Mus musculus: one gene and its partners. The protein of the gene in region 2 binds, or shares a complex with, the protein of the main gene of each other region. Links are inferred from orthologs where the notes say so. Each region holds a gene or a part of one and is shown on either strand. Other genes may lie near its edges.

Region 1 (4,973 bases), on a different chromosome or scaffold from region 2:
TTATCTCGAAAACCAAAAAAAAAAAAAAAAAGTGCCTCGGGCCTGTAAACCCTGGCCAAGGACAGATACTTCCTGAAATGACGGAGGCTATTGTTTATGGAAGAAGCAAGTCACGTGTTTTCACTTCCCCAAACAGGTTCAGTTGAGCCAACTACACGAATGTGCTAGATGACATGTGGGCAGGAGGTACGGAGACAGGAAATGGGTCAGGATGGTTGCTCACCCCTGATTGGATCTGATCAAAACACAATGGCCTTATGGCGTTCAGGAATAGCCTGGTCAGAGTCTATCATCCTGGCCAGTATTTAAAACGTTTGCTTTAAATTTGACTCAAAATTGTGGTAGTGGTCCTATTTTTTCCCTCGGGAGGATAAACATTTGAGGCCAGCCTGATCTACAGAATGAGTTCCAGGATACCCAGGGCTACACAGAAAAACCCTGTCCTGAGGAGGAAAAAGAAAGAAATGGTTACTTATTTGCTGGGTGGCACATGCCATTAATCTCAGAAGTCAGGAGGCAGATCTCTCAGTTAGATGTGTTGTTCCAGGAACCACGAACTCCAAAAGATCACCAAGCAGCCCTTTGCGATGTAATAGCATTAGGGTCTCTTTATTACAAGCGCAGGCTTGGGCTCTCCTCCATCCCAATCCTGACACAGCAAGGACAGAAAGGGAAGGTGGAGCGGCCTCGAACCCTCAGCAGGACAAGTTTTTATAGAAAAATAGGAGCAAGGGAGGGGGTGAGGGAGAGGGTGTCCAGTCTGGCAAGCATCTAATAGAATGGCTATAAGCTGAGAGGTGGGTGCTCTGAAATAAGGCCGTATACAAATAGCCTGAAGGTACATCTGAAACAGTCAGACTAATCTTTGATTAACTATTGATAGGAAGTAGCCAGGAAGTGTCCTCTGGCCAAGGACAAGCCGTGTGGTCCTTCCTGGTACGTGGGTACAGTCCCAAGATGGGGTAGGTTTGGTCTCTCAGATGGCCAGTCTGGCCTACTGATCAAGTTCCAAGACAGACAGGCCTACAAAGAGAAACCCTGTATTGAAAATCCAAAACAAAAGGCAAGCTTGATGGCACACTAAATTGTAAGGGCTTAGACTTTGGCTGGAACTCAGAAGAGCCCTGGGAAAAACTGAGCTCGGGTGCTTCTCAGTCTCCTCTCTGCCACCTCCCCTGACCCCTGCTCTGGAGGGCAGAGCATGGCAGAACCTACCGCTCCCTCTCCTGACCCTAAATTCTGATTCTCCCCCCCACCCCCCAAGACAGGGTTTCTGGCTGTCCTAGAACACTCCGTAGACCAGGCTGGTCTCGAACTCAGAAATCCACCTGCCTCTGCCTCCCAAGTGCTGGGATTAAAGGCATGCACAACTACTGCCAGGCTTAAATTCTGATTCTTGAGAGCTAGAACTTCACAGGCCTTGCTGTGTGTCCATTGTATTCCAACCGGCTGGGAGTGTTTCGGTCCAAATGTGGGCCGTGCTTTTGCTGTGGTTCAGACAACAGATCCCAGAAAAGAGGAGGGAGCATGGATGCTTCACTTACTGTCATACGTTGGCAGACACATGCAGAATGACCACATGCTTTCAGCTGCTACAACAGAGGAATCAACAGAGAATCTTAGAGATTTCCATCTTACTAAATGTGGAAATGGTTGGGTTTCGAACTTGGGACAAATGGCTTAGGTGGCTATAGCATATCAAAGCAGAGCTGGCCACCAGCTTCTCTCTGTAATCCTCCACCCTCTACGTGTCACAGAGCCTCCTATCAGGCATACCCTGCCTCCTATCCTGAACTCTTGGGCCTTGAGGTCTGCTCTTCCCTACATAATCCAATCATTTCTGTAACCTGCTGTCTTTGTGCCTTTGGGCCTCCTGGCTGCTGTGCCTGGCTCCTCCCACTCCCTTCTTCCTCCCCTTCCCTCTCCCCACATAGCACAGCTCAGCCTGTTCCTGTCTATTCAGCACTCTCCCGGAGGTCCCTGACTCTGGCTGTGCTCTCTCTCCCACACAGCTATAATAAACTCTCTCCTCCACCATATCTGGGAACAGTCATGTTCCTTTTCCTTTCTTATTTCTTTTCTTTCTTTTTCTTTTTTTTTTTTCCCATTCAGAGTGTGTTTCTAACTCGTCACACTCTTCCTTTTCCTGTGATGACAAGGTCGGTGTGAAGCTTTGTGTTTCGAGCTTGACAGGATCTAGATGAGCCTCAGGTCACACCTCTGAGGGATCGTCTGCCTTAGGTTAACTGAGGTAGAGCATCTGCTATGAAAAGTGACCAGGACTTGGGTCCTCCCTGCATAAAGAGAAGAAGGCTACGTGAGTATGAGTTGGTCCCCTGCATCCTGACAGTGGGTGCCTTGTGACCAGCTGCTTCAGGGTCTGACACCATGATTTATCCACCATCATGGACTGTACCCTGGAGACTAGTGAGCCCAAATCAACCCTGCCTTCATTACGATGTTTCTGTCGGAGTGTTTTACCACAGCAAGAAAATTGACTACTTCACAGCTTCTCCTCCTGTGATATCAGAAACCACTTGGTCTCCAGTAGTCTTTAGCCTTAGATGTCCTCGGTGCGAGAGTCCTTGCCTGAGGAAGCAAGCCGAAGAAACTGCATATGCGATCCCAGCGCAATCATGAAAGAAACCACATAACGTTATCTGAAAGAGCCCCCCAGCACTGCGATGGGATAGCGTGTGGGGGTTCAGCATTCTGAAAGAATGCAGAACTGAAAAGGATGACTGTAGCCCCAAAGAGAGCTAAGATGTGTGGGGCGTGACACCATTTTATTAAAATGTCTTAGATCTGCCATATTTACTCAGAATGTTAGGTGCTAGGTTCTGTGGGAAACAAGGAAAGCAGAAGGGCGCTCCCTGCCTCTAGCACTTACAGCAGAGCCCCTGTGTTCAGGTGCTGGGATAGAGAATGAAGAGAAATGCAGAGGAAGGGAAATCAATCTCTGTGGCCTTCTCGGGGTCAGGGAGGGTTTCATGTCGGGTGTGAGACAAAACTGATTCTCTGAGGACAGGCAGGTGGGCTCTGGTTGCACAGGCCTGGAATTCTAGCTACTTAGGTTGTGGCGAATTCAAGCCAGACCTAGGCTGCAAAGCAAGTTCAAGGACAGTCTTGGAAACCTAGTGAGATCCTGTCTCAAAATCATTTTTTAAAAGCCGGGGAAGGGGCTGGAGTTGGAGGTCAACGGTAAAGTACTTGCACAACATGTGAGAGGCTCTGGGTTTGATCTTCAGTACCGGTGGGGTGGGGTGGGGTAGGCTGGGAGGATGGATAACAGTAAAGTCTTCAGAAAAACGTATGATGAGAATCCACATTTAGGGTCTCAATTGTTTATTTGGTTAATTACCCATTCAGCCAATCATGAGAGTTTTACTAAGTATCCCTAGGAAGATGCTGGCATTGTTTGAAGTATACAGAGCTGAAAATGACCCCAGTCTCTTGCATGCTTAATATGAGGGTTCTTTGAAAGAATAAGTATACCTTACACATTCATTGTGACTAGGGTAGTCTGCCAACCAAATAAAACAGCAGTCATGATTTTAAAGGCTACCTGTGGCTATCTAAAGTCACGTAGAATCTAGATCATTTTTCTCTTGCTCCATTTTCCTTCCTTCTCCTCTGTCTCTGTCTCCAAAAACCCCAGCTTCGCCTCCCTTTTCCCTGTCCAATTACAGGCTTCTTGTTGTATTAACATTCAAATTGATTGGACCTGGAAAATTCTGCTACACAAAACTGCTGGGGTCCCACCCCCACATTCAGGTACTGAGATGGAGCACGGAGAGGCAGAGCAGAGGTTGATGATCTCTGGCCTTTAACCCTCTCTTGTTCTTCTGGGCCAACAGCTGATGGCTTCTGGAAATTAACTCTCTCTTGGTATTGGGGGCGGGAGTTGGGTGGGGAGGGAGGGTGCTGGTGGCAAAAGCTGACAATTAACTCCTGCTAATAGCAGCAGAGGATTAAGAAAAGAAACTTAGTTATTTGGGCTCTTTATTCTTTGACTCAGGCCTCTTGCTGTCCAGGTGAGAGGCCCAGAGATCCTTAACCAAATGAAAAGAGAGAGAGAGGGAGAGAGAGAGAGAGAGAGAGAGAGAGAGAGAGAGAGAGAGAGAGAGAGAAAGTCAGGCACACACAGAGAAGCAGAAAATGGCTATACCACCCCTTTATTGTTGTTCTTAGTTTTTAGTTTTTATACCTTCTCAGGATAATTGATCACATGGTGGTTTTTGTTTTGTTTTGTTTTGTTTTGTTTTTTGGTTTTGGTTTTTCGAGACAGGGTTTCTCTGTATAGCCCTGGCTGTCCTGGAGCTCACTTTGTAGACCAGGCTGGCCTCGAACTCAGAAATCCGCCTGCCTCTGCCTCCCGAGTGCTGGGATTAAAGGTGTGCGCCACCACGCCCGGCTGATCACATGGTTTTTAAAGCATTCTTACATTCCATAAGTTCATAGTAAGTTTAAGGCAAAATGGTTCATGTCATGGGTCGATAAGGCTTCAGGAGTTACAGTAACATTGTTTACATGTCTTTCCATTAAGACTAGTACCTGAATAAATAGTCACTATTTTATGGTTCTACAAGATCATTATAAGTTTAAAGTAATAGTTTTTATGTTCCAAGTTAGCATGGGTTTGTCAAGAGACAAATCATCTGCCTTGTGTCTTATTATTTTAATCTTGTATAGGTAAACTAGTTCATCACTTATTTTCTGTCCTTGCACCTACAATAAATTGCCCACCTCCAGTTTATGACCTTTAGTTACCAGAGAGTGGCCTCATTCTTAACCTACAAGAATGTTTTCCCTGAGTGTAAATTTGTTCCAAGCCAGTTTTCTTTTCCTAGAGCAATAAGCTCATGAACCTGAAGGTTTACAAAACTCTATTTGCAGCTTTTATTCTATAGGGGGCTTGAAATTACTTGTATTAGTTTAGGAGTATAAAATCATTATCAGGAATTATGAAATCA
Region 2 (4,533 bases):
GAAAATACTAGAAAGATTTGGGGGGCTCGAGTTCAACAGGAAAAGTACACTTTAGCTTCGCTTATTAGCCACGTGTCTTAGTCAGGGTTTCTATTCCTGCACAAACATCATGACCAAGAAGCAGTTGGGGAGGAAAGGGTTTATTCAGCTTACATTTCTACATTGCTGTTCATCAGCAAAGGAAGTCAGGACAAGAACTCACACAGGGCAGGAAGCAGGAGCTGATGCAGAGGCCATGGAGGGTGCTGCTTACTAGGTTCAGCTTGCTTTCTTATGGAACCCAGGACTACCAGCTCAGGGATGGCACCACCCACAATGGGCTGTGCCCTTCCCCCTTGATCACTAGTTGAGAAAATGCCTTACAGCTGGATCTCATGAAAGCATTTCCTCAAGGGAGGCTCCTTTCTCTGTGATAACTCCAGCTTGTATCAAGTTGACACACAAAATCAGCCACTACCATGATACCTCTGTGGAAGAAATTTCCAAACCCCTGCTTGGGTTTCATTTTCTGGGGATGTTAACTCCATTTGAGTTTGCCAGCCGTCTCTATACTCAGTCGAGCCTGCTCCTTGTGAGTAAATTGAACATTTTTGTCCCTTGTGGAAAAAAGTAGGAATAGAGTGGCCTCAACTGAACAGGAAATTTACTACCCTCGCTGCTGCCCAACTCATGTTGACTGAAACTTTCTTTTCTCTCTCCAAAGCACCACAATAGGCGTTTTCCTGTGTGGCCCTGAAGCCTTGGCTGAAACTCTCAGTAAACAGAGCATCTCCAACTCAGAATCCGGCCCGCGTGGAGTCCACTTCATTTTCAACAAGGAAAACTTCTAACTCCGCTCTTTCACCAGGAAACCAGTGTATGCTGCCAAATGTCCCAGTAATGCTGGTTGGTTGTAGGAGAGAAGGAGGAAAGGAAATCACAATGACACAGGCCCCCTAAAAGGAATTCCAAAGATCCTTACTAGTCATCTGTCATATTGCATGGAACTTCATGGTTTCAGAGCACTTTTTACATACATAGTTATGCATTGTTTCACATTTCCCTTTGACATGCCAGAAGAGGGTAAGGCAAAAGCATTTTCTGGGACTCTCTCTAGGATAAACAATAGGATCTCAAATGAGTTCCACACCTTCCTTCCAATTCAGAAGTTGAAACCACACCTAAGCCATCTGACTCTGGGTGTGGTCACCTTTTCACCTTTAATACCAGGTTGTCTCAAGCCTCAGTTTTTATACTATCCACCAACAAAAAAGCAAGTCAAAGAAGAGCTCATCATTCTTAGCTGTTGTTTTCTCTTTAACCTTAGCATCATGCTAAAGGAAACTTTTTAAATAGAGGAGATAGTGATGCTGATGGTGACTTAATACTTCCTAAATGACAGTATCGGCACAGAAGTATATTCCAGTTTTATCAGCACAACAGTTTAACTGGGTCAGAGATTATTCCTAGTAAGAAATATTAGACTGATTGGAGTTAAAGTAGCACTCTACATTTACCATGGTGTTTGGCAGAATTGGTGTTCAAGGTCAGTTTATTGAATGAATGAATGAATGATTGAACAAATAGATGCAAACATTCAGAACTATATCATAATGGAATGTATGGCCAGAGACAGAATTACCCTTCTGTTTCTTTTACACACCAAAGTATCCTGATTCCCCTGGGAGTAGAGAGAAAGATATGAACCAATAGGGAGAGTCAGGCCATTCTACTGGTATTCATCCAACTGTCATTTGAAGGGAGGAGGCATGAATTCAGAGACCTATTCTCCTATGATGATGGTGGCTAACACTTCTAGTTCCAGTCTGTAAGCTGAAAAAGAAGAACACATTTATTTACTGACAGAAATGATCTGCTCCAGCCAAACTTTGAACTGAATTCTAAGAAATGTATACATGATAATACATATCCTGCTTAGAATCCATTTCTTCTTTGGCTTAAATACCTATACAAATAGATCTTATGTGCATAGACAATAACTTGTTTTTTTTTTTTTAATTGCAGCATTTTCATCACCACTAGTACCAGCATCACCATCTTCCTAAAATATAAATTTTAGAAACTGTAATCCCCAAATAACTGGGTTAAGAGTAAAATCACATCCGATATTTTATGGGCATCCAGAAATGCAAGACAGAGTCTAGATGACTGCTAGACTAGTCACATGTGAAAAAAAAAAAAAAAAAGAGAAAACTACTCCTCTTTCTGGGAACTAAAAGCATTTCTGACTGCCCCCCCCCCCCCAGGAATACAAAGACTTATAACTATTCAGCTTTGGTAATGAGGAAGGAAGAGTAGAGAGCAGAGGCCTTGATGGAGAGAAAGTGGTGAAGCCAACAGGAGAGAAAGGAAAGCACCACACTCACAAGGGAAGTGTCAGAGGCAAAGGGTCTCATGGTGGTTAGGATTCGGCCTCCATTGCTACTTGATATGTATCACATGTAACTAAAGGACGCATGCGCTCATCTTGTTTTGACTTCATATTGCATTGCATAGTTTTAGTTCTGATCACAAATTTTGCTATTGTATGAAGATTTTGAAGGGACTAGACGAAGGGAGAGCTCAGATTCTCCTTATGTTCCTGCTATGCTCTTGTTCGCTTAGCATCCTTAGAGCACTCAAGGCTGGTTCTGGTAAATAAGGCCTTCCTAGATGTGCACATGGTACCAGGAGAATTGTTGCCCTGGGACAAAGGTCCAGACAGACCTTCGTGTTGCACCCTAGGCATTAGGTCATTCATTCAACATACATTTGTTTGGTATAATTAATGAGTCAATTTTAACTATTTGTGGCAAAGTTTGATCTCAGTTACAAGGACTCTGAAAACACCGTGTTCTAACAAAAGTGGTAATGAGTCTGTTTGTTGCTACAAGAATCCTTCTCCAGTTTTCTGGGGTTTTCCTTGTCTTTATTTTTCTTGCAGACAATAGATCCAGACTGCAGACTGGCCCCTCTCCCTCTCCCAGCCCTGCCTCCACACCTCCTCTTCCCCAGATCCATTGTTCCTCTGTTTCCCTTCAAAAAAAAAAAAAAGAGCAGACCTCCCAGAGAACACAGCATAACAAGATGCAATAAGACTAGGCACAAACCCTCATATCAAGGCTGGATGAGGCAACCCAGGAGGAGAAAAAGAATCCCATAAGCAGGCTAGGGTTGATATCAACATAGTTCCCAAAATAGAGATCTATCCTGAGTTATTCTGGTTATGAGATGGAAAATGAGTGCACATGTGCTTGTTGTTTGAGAACTTCCTTCTTTTTGCTCCCAAGCCCCCAGCTCACAGCCACCAGCTGCCAGCTGCCAGCACAGCTCTTTCTGTACTTAGTTCTTAGAATTTAGTAACAGATACTGAGATCTGTCATTAGCAACAAATCTAAAATGAGAAAATAAGGCTAGAAATGATTTTTCTTATTTTTTCCCCGCTTTTGCAATATCATGTTTATGGAATTTGAATACTTGCAGCCATTGTATATGAACAGTCTGGTGAGTGGGAGAAGATGATCTAGAGATAACTTTTAGAAATAACTATTAAAGCTTGCTTTGATGCTGAAATCAGTGAGCTTTCCCTGTGTCTTTGTTATTGAACTTGTCATTAAAGAGTGAATCCAACTAGCAAAGATACTGTATTTTATCAAGAAGGTTGTTCTAAATATGTCAATCAGTTACAACCCTCCCTGTCTAGGTAATGCATGGAGACATGAGCTCATGTTTTGGACTGAATTGGCTGTTGTTATCACGGATGTAAAGCACATCACCGAAGGCAAATGCTAATAAACAGAAATAGCAAACATTTAATGAATGCCTACTACTTTGCCAAACATTTTACATACACCTCAGCTACTCCCTCAACAACAGCACAATGACATTTTAGTCCTAAGCTTGTTGATAAGAAAACTATCCAAGGAAAGATGATTGATAAGCAAAGGTTCCATAGTTGATGGATGGATATGTCAACATTAAATCTCCATTTTCTAGCAATCAGGCCTATGTTCTTTCCGCTAGCAGATTGAATAAGGTTCATGGAACCAAAATATGCATTGAGAATGGTTGGGTAAGGGTGGCAATAGAGATCAAGTATCTTGGTATGTCACTTTTAAATTCAAATAAAATAGGATGCTGGAGGGAGAAATACATTATAAAAAGGGAAGAGTCGGGTGTTCTGGTGCATGCATGCAATAAAGCACTCAAGAGGCTGAATGAGAATTATAAATTCAAGGCTAAGGTGCTCTGCATACCCAGACTCTGTTTTAACCTCACCCCCCACAAAGAAAAGGTTACTTTTCTTGAAAAAAAAAAAAGATCACAGCTCAATTTAAATGCTCTTTTTATATATTTTTATTTTATTTATAAACATTTATGTCTTTCAGAGAATAACAGCCATTATTTGAAGTGTGTGTGTGTGTGTGTGTGTGTGTTTGTGTGTGTGTGCGCACGTGCGCACGTGCATGTACACGTGCATGTGTGCATGTGTGCATGTGTGATACATTTTCATGAAGAAGAAGTGAAATTATAAAATGACAAGATTTCTCAATG
Region 3 (5,244 bases), on a different chromosome or scaffold from region 2:
AAAATTAACTAAAAGCAGCTAGATATAGTGACACACACCTTTAATCCCAGCACCTAAGAGGCAGAGGCAGGAGGACTCTGAGTTGGAGGCCTGCCTGGTCTACATAGTGAGTTCTAGTGTAACAGGGCCCCAGGCCTTAGCACAACTGACTCACGATGGAGGTACCATTCAAGCTGTAATCTCGGCACACAGCACAGTCATGGCTAACATTATGTTCATGGCTAACGCTAATGTTATGTTTACAGTTTAAAATCTCTGGGCTTTTTGAGAACTGCAAAGCAAAATTAGACTTCCAAATGTTAAGGGCTGTTAAAGGTTACTTTTTAAATTTCTGTTTCTGCTTCGGTAAATAAAGCTTGTTTTGCATAAGAGGACCTTCTGCTTGTACTAGCACAGAATGTAACTTGTGGTTTTTGCCTTTATAAACCCCTGACTGAGGTGACTGGGGACTGCATTCAGGAATTCCGAGTCCTGGGTGTAGACCTGGTGCCAGTCTATAAATAAAAGCCTCTTCTTAAACTGGGCAGTTCCCAGCACTCAAGAGACAGAGGCAGGTAGATCTCTGTGTATTTGAAGCTAGCCTGGTCTACAGAGTGAGTTCCAGGACAGCCAGGTTTTGAAAAAAAAAAAAAAAAAAAGGAGAGGGAGAGATAAAGAGAAAGAGAAAAAAAGAAAAAAAAAGAGAATAAATCCAGCTTTAAACTGAGTATAGCAGCGTGTGCTTTTAATTCTAGCACTCGCAAGACAGATTGGGCCAGATCCCAGAGTTCCAGGCCAACCAGAAATACATGCACACACTCACACACGCACATCATACAGACAAGCAAAAACAACAAAAAACAGGGATCGAGAGTTGGCTCAATAGTAAAGAGTACTAGCTACTTTCCCAGAGGTCCTGAGGTTCAATTCCCAGCAACCACATGGTGGCTCACAACCATTTGCAATGGGATCTGATGCCCTCTTCTGGTGTGTCTGAAGACAGCTACAGTGTATTCCTATACATAAAATAAATAAGTAAATATTAGAGAGAGACTGCCTCATCCAGTTTTCTCAGTATATACTGTAACTATAAATTGACAAAACTTCAAGGGTCATGCTGTGTACTTTTATAAAGTCATTATAAAATTAGGAATCCCATAACAAGTAGATCTAAAGAGAACGGTAAAGTAATGGAAATCTCTGCTCCAGCATGCCGTCCTAGCACCCACAGATCATCGTAGGTATGTTGGAGGCAAACTACAAAATAGGAACATGTGATCCAGGTTTTACGTCACTAGTTATTGTGTGTTAGGTCTGAAAGAAACCGGGGACAAATGGCTAACTGAGGTGCCTATTGACCATCAAAGTAGATGATGGCCATGCTCTCAGCAAGTACCTGTTACAGAGTCCTGACTCCTCAGCTCTTGCCCACTACCCTAGACCTCTCTAACCCTGCCCAAGCCCCTGCCTTCCCTTCCCTTCCCTCCCCTCAACTCCCCTCCCCTTCCCTTCCCTTCCCTCCAACTTCTCTTTGCCTATAAAACCCAGACATCGTGACTACGTGCTGACATCTGACATCGTGACTACGTGCTGTCTGCCCTCTTGGTCTTTTGTCTCCATCTCGCCTCTCTTCATCTCTTACTCTGCCCCTCTCTCTTTCCTCTCATGGCTCTATTCTGCTGGACATGTTCAACCAGACGCTTCCATATGTGCTTTCCCTCACATTTACAATAAGAAACTCGTCAACAATACCTAGGAGTGGCCATGTCCCCACTTTCATTTATTGTGCATCTTTTGTTAGATTGACCTCGGGTAGTCAGATCATGTTTGCTATACCTTAGGCATCTGGTGAATATGACCTCTTATCATTTCCTGAAAATTACAGATCTAGCCAGGAGGCGGTGGCACACACCTTTAATCCCAGCATTCGGGAGGCAGAAGCATGAAGATCCCTCTGAGTTCCAGGCCAGCCAGAGCTACACAGAGAAACCTTGTCTGGAAAACCCAAAAAACCCCCCAAAAACAAACAAACAAAAAAACCCAATCCAGATCCACTCACTCCCCAGGCTTCTAAACCACGCCCATATCCTGCTTAACTAGGAAACCTCCTTGAGTGACATCTTTCTTGGTTGGCCAAGGGGCTAAATTCAGGTGCCCTACCTGTCCCTGTCCCCAGGAGTGTGAAGCACAAAGGCACAACCCCCGACTGCGTAATCACTCAGTCTCCACCCCTGGGAGGTTCCCACCCAGCTCTTATCCCGGAAGTCTGCGGAACAGAAGTCCGGAAGTTCGAGGGGCTGTTCTCTCCCACTCATTCTCCTACAAGTCCCTCGTTGTCCGCATAGGTGCGTGTCCTACAACTTTTCGGGTTCCGACCCGCCGAGCCCTGTGCGGGTCATCGCTTGCGGATCTGGACCAGGCGCAAGGCAAATTGAGGAAGCCGGGCGTGTGCACTCCGGAGGAGGAGCCAGCGTAACGGGCCGCTAGTGGAGCTTGTTGGTAACTGAAGCCAGAGGGAGGCAAGTTATGTGCCTAACTAGGATTCTTGAGGATGTAGGGTATGAAGCTTGATTGCCCCTGGGAATCCAAGGAGCCACTCAGAACTGGGGCCTTGGGTGTTAATCTCCAGACGTCCTGCCGCAGTGTCCCATTAATTCGGCGCATTTGGGCCATTGTTAGGTAGTCTGGCGTCAATAACAGGGATCTGACAGCTTATGAATGTAGAGACTCATACACGATGGTACTTTCACTTCCCGTTCTTGGTGGGAAGAGTTGTTTCTGGAAGATTCGGGTAAGGTGCCGGAAGCCTGAGTTGTGTGTGTGTGTGTCGGGGCGGGGGAGGGGGAGGGGGCTTACTAATGGAACAACTTAAAGATAAGAGTTCAGTCAAGAAAAGGGTTCACAAGACTGGGGGCTTGGAAGTGAGTTCAGACCAACACCAAATTTGTGAGCTGTGTAGCCCCGATGCCCATACATAATTGTGAGTTAAGTGGGCTCATAAGAGAAAGGTGTTCGGGGTCTGCTGTGGACCTTCCCCTGGCCTCCTGACTGGACTAATGAGGTGCTGCCTATGTGCACTGGTTGCAGGCTTCAGTTGTGTTTTTCCAAGCCTGGTCGGCTGTGCAGTAGAGCCCAGGTTCCAAGAATGTATATGCAGGTGGAGACACGCACCAGCACCCGCCTCCATCTGAAGAGGGCTCCAGGCATCCGGTCTTGGTCCCTGCTGGTCGGTAAGGCTTCCCACCCCCCACCCCACCCCCAATCTAAAAAGCGACGTAAACAGCTTCTTTGTGTTCTATTAGAGGTTCTCAATACAAGGCCTTGATAAAGCATGTTTCATTAACCCTCAGGGTGCCTTTTCTTTCAGATGGCATGCAGGACCGACCCCCTTGCATGCTAGGCACACTCTAACACTGAGATACCCTCCCTGCCTTGCAAGCTGGGCACACTTCTTTAACACTGAGATGCCCTCCCAGCCTATCTGCTTTTTATGAGGTCACTATAGTTTTCCTTCTGTGTGACAGGTGATCATGGGTTCCCATCTTTCCTCTTCCCTGGCTCAGACCTCTTCATAAGCGCACTTAGCCTCTTCCTCCATCGCTGCCTGTCAGAAGGCTCTTGTATCTCAGGGACAGGTGCACTTGTGTTGGCTGGGCTGTACAGTCTGAGGTGAGGCACTAGCTGTGGCTTCAGCAGCATCTCTGCAGTCTGTCCTTATGATATACACATGCTTTTCTGCATGTTATGCTCGGGTGTTGTTATAATTCTGTAAGTAGTCTTCATCCCTCATCCCATGTAAGCAATACCTACCTCAGGGTCATTTGTGCGTTTGTCATTTGTTTGCAGACAAGTCTGGTGAATGCCATGATGGGATATCTTGCTTTTTATTTAATTTTATTTTTAAACTATGTGTGTATCTATATGGGGGTTCTATGCAGGTACGTATAGGTGCCTGTGGAATCCAGAAGAGCATTAGCTCTCTTGGAGCTGAAGTTGCATGAGGTTGCGATGGCCTGACATGGGTGCTGGTGCTGAGTACTGAACTGGGTCCTCTGCAAAAGTAGTATATACTCTTAATCAGTAAGCCCTCTTTTCCAGTCCCCTTCTCCTCCGTTTTGAAACAAACATCTTAGCTGGCTCACCAACTCTGTACTAGGTAGCCTCTACCTGTTGCCCCTGAACAAGCTGTGCTACCATGAGACAGCTATAGCACTGTGAAGAAATGGGTCTTCCCTTGGCTAGTTAACAAGGTACTCTCTCCCTCTCTCTACAGGAATATTATCCACTGGCCTGGCTGCTGCCTATTACAGTGGAGGTAAAGTATGTTCTCCCCTTCAGCTTCCTTGCACTTGGAAATGAACAAAAAGCAGTCTTGGTGTGTGTGGCTTTGGGGTGGCCTTGTGTGGGAGATGATCCCAGGCCATGTCTTGTATCTTAAATCTCTTACTGTGTTACAAAGTCCTCTTGTAAAGCTCTTTAGCATTTGCCTGTCACCTTGCAGGGAGGATGTGTCCCATCTCCATGGCAAGGCTGTATCGATCTACCCATCCTCTAGGTGGAATTAGGCAGAGTTTGGGGCTTAAGTAGCTCCGGTGACAGAAGCACATTACCTAAGCCTCTAATCTGAGCCAAAAGAAAGGTTGGGCTGGGAAGGACCACCTATGGACATCACCTTGGCTCCTGAGCTAATGAGCTGATATACTGTCTGCTTGCAGATAGTCTGGGCTGGAAGCTCTTCTATGTCACAGGCTGCCTATTTGTGGCTGTACAGAACTTGGAAGACTGGGAGGTAAGATGGAACAGTAGGACCCTTCCCGTTCAGAAGCACCTGCCCCAGCTCAGAGGCATTCAGTTACCTGGACTCAGCCCTTCCCTTGATTTTGCTTGTAAACATCTCTGGACTTTTCTAGAAAAGCTACTCACAACAGTTTTCACTAAGGTTCTATGTAGTGTGTTTTGTTATGTTGCAGGCTTGCCTCAAACTCAAAAGAAAGCCAATTGCCTCAACCTTCTGATGGGCATAAAACACCCCACTTGGCGCACAGTAGCGCCCCCCCCCCCCCCGGGTTGTTACAACAAGTCTGTATGTCCCTTGGCTGGGCTGGTTCCACAGGGCAGGGACCTGTGAGAACATTTTGAAGTTCAGGGGTTTGGGGCTTCCTCTGACCACCCAGGTCCTCACTGTACACCTAACAATGGCAGACAGGAATCTGAGCCTGGGGAAAGTCAGGTGGTACCTTTTGGGGATGCCCCCTTCCCTTAGTC
Region 4 (5,019 bases), on a different chromosome or scaffold from region 2:
GAACAAGACTGAAAACTCCATGGCCAGGAACTGCATTTTTATGTCTAACATTCTTCACTGACCCTCATAGTGAAAACAAACAAACCCCAACAACGGTAGTGAGGCGAGAAGCAAGTGGGAACGGCTCAGGAGAATAGGCACTGGACTCAAAGAAAAGGAAAAGGAGAAGAGAAAAGCACAGCAACAACGGTAACCAGCACTCGCTCAGCGCTCCACAAGGACCGGGCACTCAAGAGCCTCTTCATACTCAGCATCTCATTTAGGCTTGTTTAACTTTCCCTTGAGGCATCTCTCTTGAGGAAGAAATGATATGCTGAGGATTACTCCGTAGGTTAAAAGGGTACTGAGGGCTGGAGATGGCTCAGCAGTTCAGAGCACTGGTCATTCTTCCAGAGGGCCTGGGTTCCACTCCTATCACAACCTAATGGTTCACCGATCTCAGTAACTCCAGTCTCAGGAGATCCTCTGCTGGCATCAACATACGGCACGGACATACACACAAAAACACCCATACACATTAAAAAATGTAGGGAGAAAAAGAAAGGTGTGGCAATCCAAATGAACCCTACAGGAGGCATTCTACACGTTTTTACTAGATTTTCTTTTTAAAGCCAGCAACAGGCTAAGACGTATCTCAGCTGTTCAGACGTGCCAGGAAACCTAAGGCCCTGAGGCCCAGCTGGGGGTGGGGGTTACAGAATGAGTGCTGGCATACCTGCTGCATGTGCATGTCAGGTCTTAGGAATTCCCAAGCACTAAGGTTTGGGTTTGGATCAGCAGCAATTTACCTTTTTAAAAAGTAATTGTCTTGAGATGTCTTTCAATGTACTTTTTCATAGTCATCCCTACTTCCTTCCAACTCCACCCCAGCCCTAAAAACTCACCTAGTCCAATCTGTGCTGCCCATCCATAGACTCAACAGTGTGAGGCCTCACACTGGGGCTAGTTTCCCTCAAGGACCACATCCATAGAGAACACTGACTGGCTCACCCCTAGAAGCATCAAGGGCCCATCTCGACTCAGCCTAGGCCCTCTCTGCCCTGGGCTAGGATCTTATACAGCTGCTGCTGAGTTCACAAGTGGAATCTAGAAAATACTGTTTCCGCTGGGTGTCCCTGACCTCTGACTCTTATAATCTCTCTTCCTCCCCTTGGTCCCTAAGCTCTGGGAGGAAAAGAGGATGGTGACAGAGCAATTTAACTTATTAAAACACTAGGAATGTGGTAGTATTCCCCAGCCCACAAACTGCTGGTGAAACATTTTTAACTTTTCAAGGAAAGTTCAGGTAAGTTTTAAACGTTCCCCAGCAAGGTGCTATGTTATAGTTCAACCGCAATACAAAAAGAGAGACAGACAGACAGACCCAGCCATCTTGCCTTCACTTAAAGCAGACCTGTGGCTCATACCTGTAAGCCCAACGCCTATGTCCATGTCCTCCTAACAGGAGAATCATGGAGTTGGGACCAAGGCAGTCAGAAACTAGGATTTACACAAAAAGACCCCGGCCCCACAATACAACATCTTCACTATCAAACTAAGTGCCCCAAGTGACAAAGCTTTCTTTTAGGAGGTGAAAGGAAAGCACCATTGACATTCCTACTCAATGAAATTCCAGTGTGTCGTTAAATACATTGAACCGTATCCATGAGACTTCCTGTCTCCGAGACAAATCCCACAGACAGACATGTTAGCAGAAAAATAAAGTTCTCTGACCGTCTGGCTGACTTAGTTACAGGGACGATCCCAAAGTCTAATGTAGAGTTCTGTAAATACGCTGAACAATCGCTCATAAATCCACGGGCTCATAAACCCATGGGCGGCGAGTGCTCACTGCAAGTGTGGAAGGCATTAAGCAAGTTTGGCAACGTACTCGACTGAACTAGAAAGTGGACCAGTTGCACTCTGCGTTTGAGGAAACGGGTGGTAAATCTCCAAGCTTCCTCGTTAACACGAACCTACACAAGCTACGCTGAGACGCGCGATTTTGCTCCGATTACACTGAGATTCTTGTTTCTACCGAAGGGGTGGGGGGAACGGGACGGACTGCATAAGACCAGTCTTGTCTCCCTCAAGGGCCTGAAACCATCACGGTCAATCACGAAAAGAATTGCCTCGAGTCACAGGGAGCTGGATCTGCTACATCCATATCTAATGCCTTCAGAGAAGGTTTGTTTGTTTTTAATAACCACACTTCGTTCAATGGACAGTCTTCATCACACTCCTTCAGCTAGCATCCCAGTAACTTTCTCGGCGTAAGTGTGAAAATGAATATTTTTATAAACACCCTGTCAAGTCGAAGCAACCGAGCCCTTTCCCAAGTTCCAGGTCACCCAAGTGACTGGTGCAAACATGCATCGACCAGGGCCGGCCGACTTGGAGGCCGTTACCTATCCCAGTTCTCGGGGGGGGGGGTGCGAGGGGGTACCCTGAGTAAATGAAGAAACTATACGTCCCTTTCTCAAAAGACAAAAATTTTTTTTAAAAATGTTTCAAGAAAAATTCTTCAAACCAGCCTCGCCTACGTGCCAAGTCGAGTAGGGCGACGGGCGGCGTCCGGCCCGGGAAGAAGGCAGGAGGGTGGAGTTCACTTTTCCCTCCGGCCGGCTCGCCCAGGCCCTCCCCCAACCAGAATCCGGAACCAGGCCCGGGAGGGTGGGAGGCTCGCGCCCCCCAGAAGGCCGGGCGCGCGCTCTACGCCAGCTCGAGGCTTTTCGGGCCTGCGGGGGCCCCCGATGGCGCTGCGCGCGGCACCGGGTCCGGAGCGCCAGGCGCGGCCGTGCACTCACCCGTCTCCCACCACCACACACTTGATGGCCTGCATCTGGGCCGCTCGGTGGGCCGCGGCGGCGGCGGCGGCGGCCGGTGGCTGAGGCGCGAAGCGGCGGGCTCGGGAAGCGCTGGGCGAGGCTGCGGGCGGCGGGGCGCCGAGTGCCGGGACTGCTGTCCACGCCGCCGGGCCCTCAGCGCACGGGAAGGCGAAGCGCAGCAGCAGCCACCACCCAAAGCTGGGGAAAACTGCAGAGAAACAGGAAATGGCCGCTCCACTCACATCCGGCCTCCCCTCCCCCTCGGTGCCGTCGACGCAGCTCCCAGGCTCCGGGCGGGGCCGCTCCCGCCCGCCCGCGCGCCCGCCCGCGCCGTTCCTGGCTTCCACGGGCTTTCGGGAAAGCTCGGCAACAGTCGGCTCCAGCCGGAGAACGGGCTCGGCGGCCGCGGGGCGGGGCGGCCGCCATCTTGGCACGCTAAAGCGTCCCGGTTGTGACCAGGTTTAGGAAGCCCTCTGAATCCTGGGGTTACGGGTTCGGGTCAGTGGTAGGGTCCCGTTCGCTCGCAACCTACTTGTGCCAACTCCATGGAGAGATTCCTGAGCCCCCTTGTTATGTGATAACTACAGTATGCTGTAGCGTAAGATCCTGCTAGAAAATTCTGTATAGCTCGTGCCACAGTGAGATCCAGTCTCAAAAAAGAAACTGCTAGGGATGTAGCCAAGTCAGAATGTTTGCCGGCATGTACAGCCTGGGGCTCCATCCCTAGCACATCACAGCCTGCCCTGGTGGCTCACCTGTAATCCCAGCACTTGGTGGGCGGAAGCAGTAGAATCCTGGGGATCAACCTCAAGTCCAACCTCTGGATATGCAACTCAATTGGTAGAGTGCTTCCCCGAGCAGATACAGATATGAAACCCTAGGATTGAACCTCACGACGGTATGAAACAGATGTGGTATATATCAGGTAGTGCATACCTGGAATCCCAGCTCTGGACTGGAGGTAGCAGAAACATCTGAAGTTTGACCTCTGGCTATGTAGCGTCCAGCGTTAACCTGACCTACCATGAGACTTTCTCAATAGGGGTGGGGGGTGGGGAGGGAGCACTAAATAAACAAAAATATAAGGAAAAAAAAACATACATACCATTAAAATAATAAACAGAAGGATAAAGGTCAGAAGAATTCTTTTAAAGATTGCTGATATGATAGGGTAAGCATATAATTCATTCACAAATAAGGTAGCCTATTAGAAGACAAGAACATTAAAGATATTTTTGGTTATCTGTGGTGTGTGTGTGTGTGCATGTTTTCATGTGTGGGCACATGTGTGGTGCACATGTGTATAGAAGACCAAGGTTGACACTGGGTGTATTCAGTTGCTGTTCACCTTATATATATTGAAGTAAGATCTCTCATTGAACACAAAACTGGCCAATTCCAGTTAATCTAGCCAACCAGCTTGCCCTGGAGATCCCATCTTTATCTTCCGGAGTTACAGGTGAGTCACCGTACCCTCCTAGTATACTAGTTTCTGGATTGGAGCTCTGTTCCTCACACTTGCCTGGCAAGTTCCCTCCTCCTGGAGCTTAAGAGGCCAAGCTGCTCTTCCAGTAGACTGGAGTTAGGTTCCCAGCACCTGAATCACATGGCTTACAGCCACCTGTAATTCCAGCTCCAGAGCGATCCAACACCTTTGGCCCCCTGAGACACCTGCATTCATTCACGTGTGTGCACGTGAGCACAGACACAAAATCTAAAATATTTTTTTAAAGAAAAGAAACCAGACCAGGAATTCCAGCCATCCTAATATCCTAACAGTAAAAAAATAAAACAAACAAACAAAAAATAGAAACAAAACAAAAAATTTAAGGGAAGCATCTGTGGAACTATTCCACGAGAATTTCCCAGACCTGGAGGATAAACCATTTACAGATAGATAATGCCCACAGGGAAGGAAATCTGCCCCACTGCACTGTACAAACTTGTAAAACTTCAGAACCATGTGAACACATAAGACCCTTCTGGCTTCCAAAGAGAAAACAAAGTCTTAAAGAGACAGGAATTTAGAATGGCTTTGGGTTTCTCAGCAGTTCCATTTGAGGGACAACGCCTTCAGGACGACGGCTCAAGAAGTAAAGGTGCTTGCCGTCCAGCGATGCAAGTTTGGTAGCTCGAGTGCCCTCCTTGCAACCCAGGTAAAGGTGGATGGAGAGAACTCTGTCCTCTGAGTCTTTGTATGCACACAAATTGG

What was found. Proteins that work in one complex are often made in the same cells at the same time.
Region 1: Cybb (region 2) and Ncf2 share a complex: the UniProt entries of both Homo sapiens proteins name them as parts of the phagocyte NADPH oxidase complex. The link is inferred for Mus musculus from reciprocal best matches to the Homo sapiens genes CYBB and NCF2.
Region 3: the proteins of Cybb (region 2) and Cybc1 are in contact, whole or in part, in a cryo-EM structure (PDB 8KEI), measured with the Homo sapiens proteins. The link is inferred for Mus musculus from reciprocal best matches to the Homo sapiens genes CYBB and CYBC1. Residues at the interface, in NP_000388.2 of Homo sapiens: Trp28, Asn74, Leu75, Leu76, Ser77, Phe78, Leu79, Arg80, Gly81, Ser82, Ser83, Ala84, Cys85, Cys86, Trp206, His210, Phe212, Pro266, Met268, Trp270, Lys271, Ile273, Tyr280, Tyr324, Phe326, Lys328, Leu335, Glu336, Trp337, His338; in NP_001028218.1 of Homo sapiens: Arg22, Leu26, Ala37, Ser41, Gly42, Asp43, Trp47, Phe50, Tyr51, Phe57, Gln61, Asn62, Glu64, Lys77, His97, Asp98, Gln99, Val100, Val101, Val102, Leu103, Arg108, Ser111, Glu115, Val117, Arg118, Tyr119, Phe120, Arg129, Ala131.
Region 4: Cybb (region 2) and Rac1 share a complex: the UniProt entries of both Homo sapiens proteins name them as parts of the phagocyte NADPH oxidase complex. The link is inferred for Mus musculus from reciprocal best matches to the Homo sapiens genes CYBB and RAC1.

The regions. Positions count from the first base shown.
Region 1 is NC_000067.6:152,798,197-152,803,169, forward strand, and holds the start of Ncf2 (neutrophil cytosol factor 2), read left to right. Parts: upstream 1-1,956; 5' UTR 1,957-2,317; intron 2,318-4,973. UniProt on the Homo sapiens protein: Subunit of the phagocyte NADPH oxidase complex that mediates the transfer of electrons from cytosolic NADPH to O2 to produce the superoxide anion (O2(-)).
Region 2 is NC_000086.7:9,434,514-9,439,046, reverse strand, and holds the end of Cybb (cytochrome b-245 heavy chain), read left to right. Parts: intron 1-703; coding exon 704-830; 3' UTR 831-3,793; downstream 3,794-4,533. UniProt on the Homo sapiens protein: Catalytic subunit of the phagocyte NADPH oxidase complex that mediates the transfer of electrons from cytosolic NADPH to O2 to produce the superoxide anion (O2(-)).
Region 3 is NC_000077.6:121,226,293-121,231,536, reverse strand, and holds the start of Cybc1 (cytochrome b-245 chaperone 1), read left to right. Parts: upstream 1-2,227; 5' UTR 2,228-2,498; intron 2,499-2,596; exon of another isoform or gene 2,597-2,693; coding exon of another isoform or gene 2,694-2,770; intron 2,771-3,066; coding exon of another isoform or gene 3,067-3,124; coding exon 3,125-3,209; intron 3,210-4,252; coding exon 4,253-4,294; intron 4,295-4,694; coding exon 4,695-4,768; intron 4,769-5,244. UniProt on the Homo sapiens protein: Functions as a chaperone necessary for a stable expression of the CYBA and CYBB subunits of the cytochrome b-245 heterodimer. Controls the phagocyte respiratory burst and is essential for innate immunity.
Region 4 is NC_000071.6:143,524,977-143,529,995, forward strand, and holds the start of Rac1 (ras-related C3 botulinum toxin substrate 1), read right to left. Parts: upstream 3,018-5,019; 5' UTR 2,822-3,017; coding exon 2,787-2,821; intron 1-2,786. UniProt on the Homo sapiens protein: Plasma membrane-associated small GTPase which cycles between active GTP-bound and inactive GDP-bound states.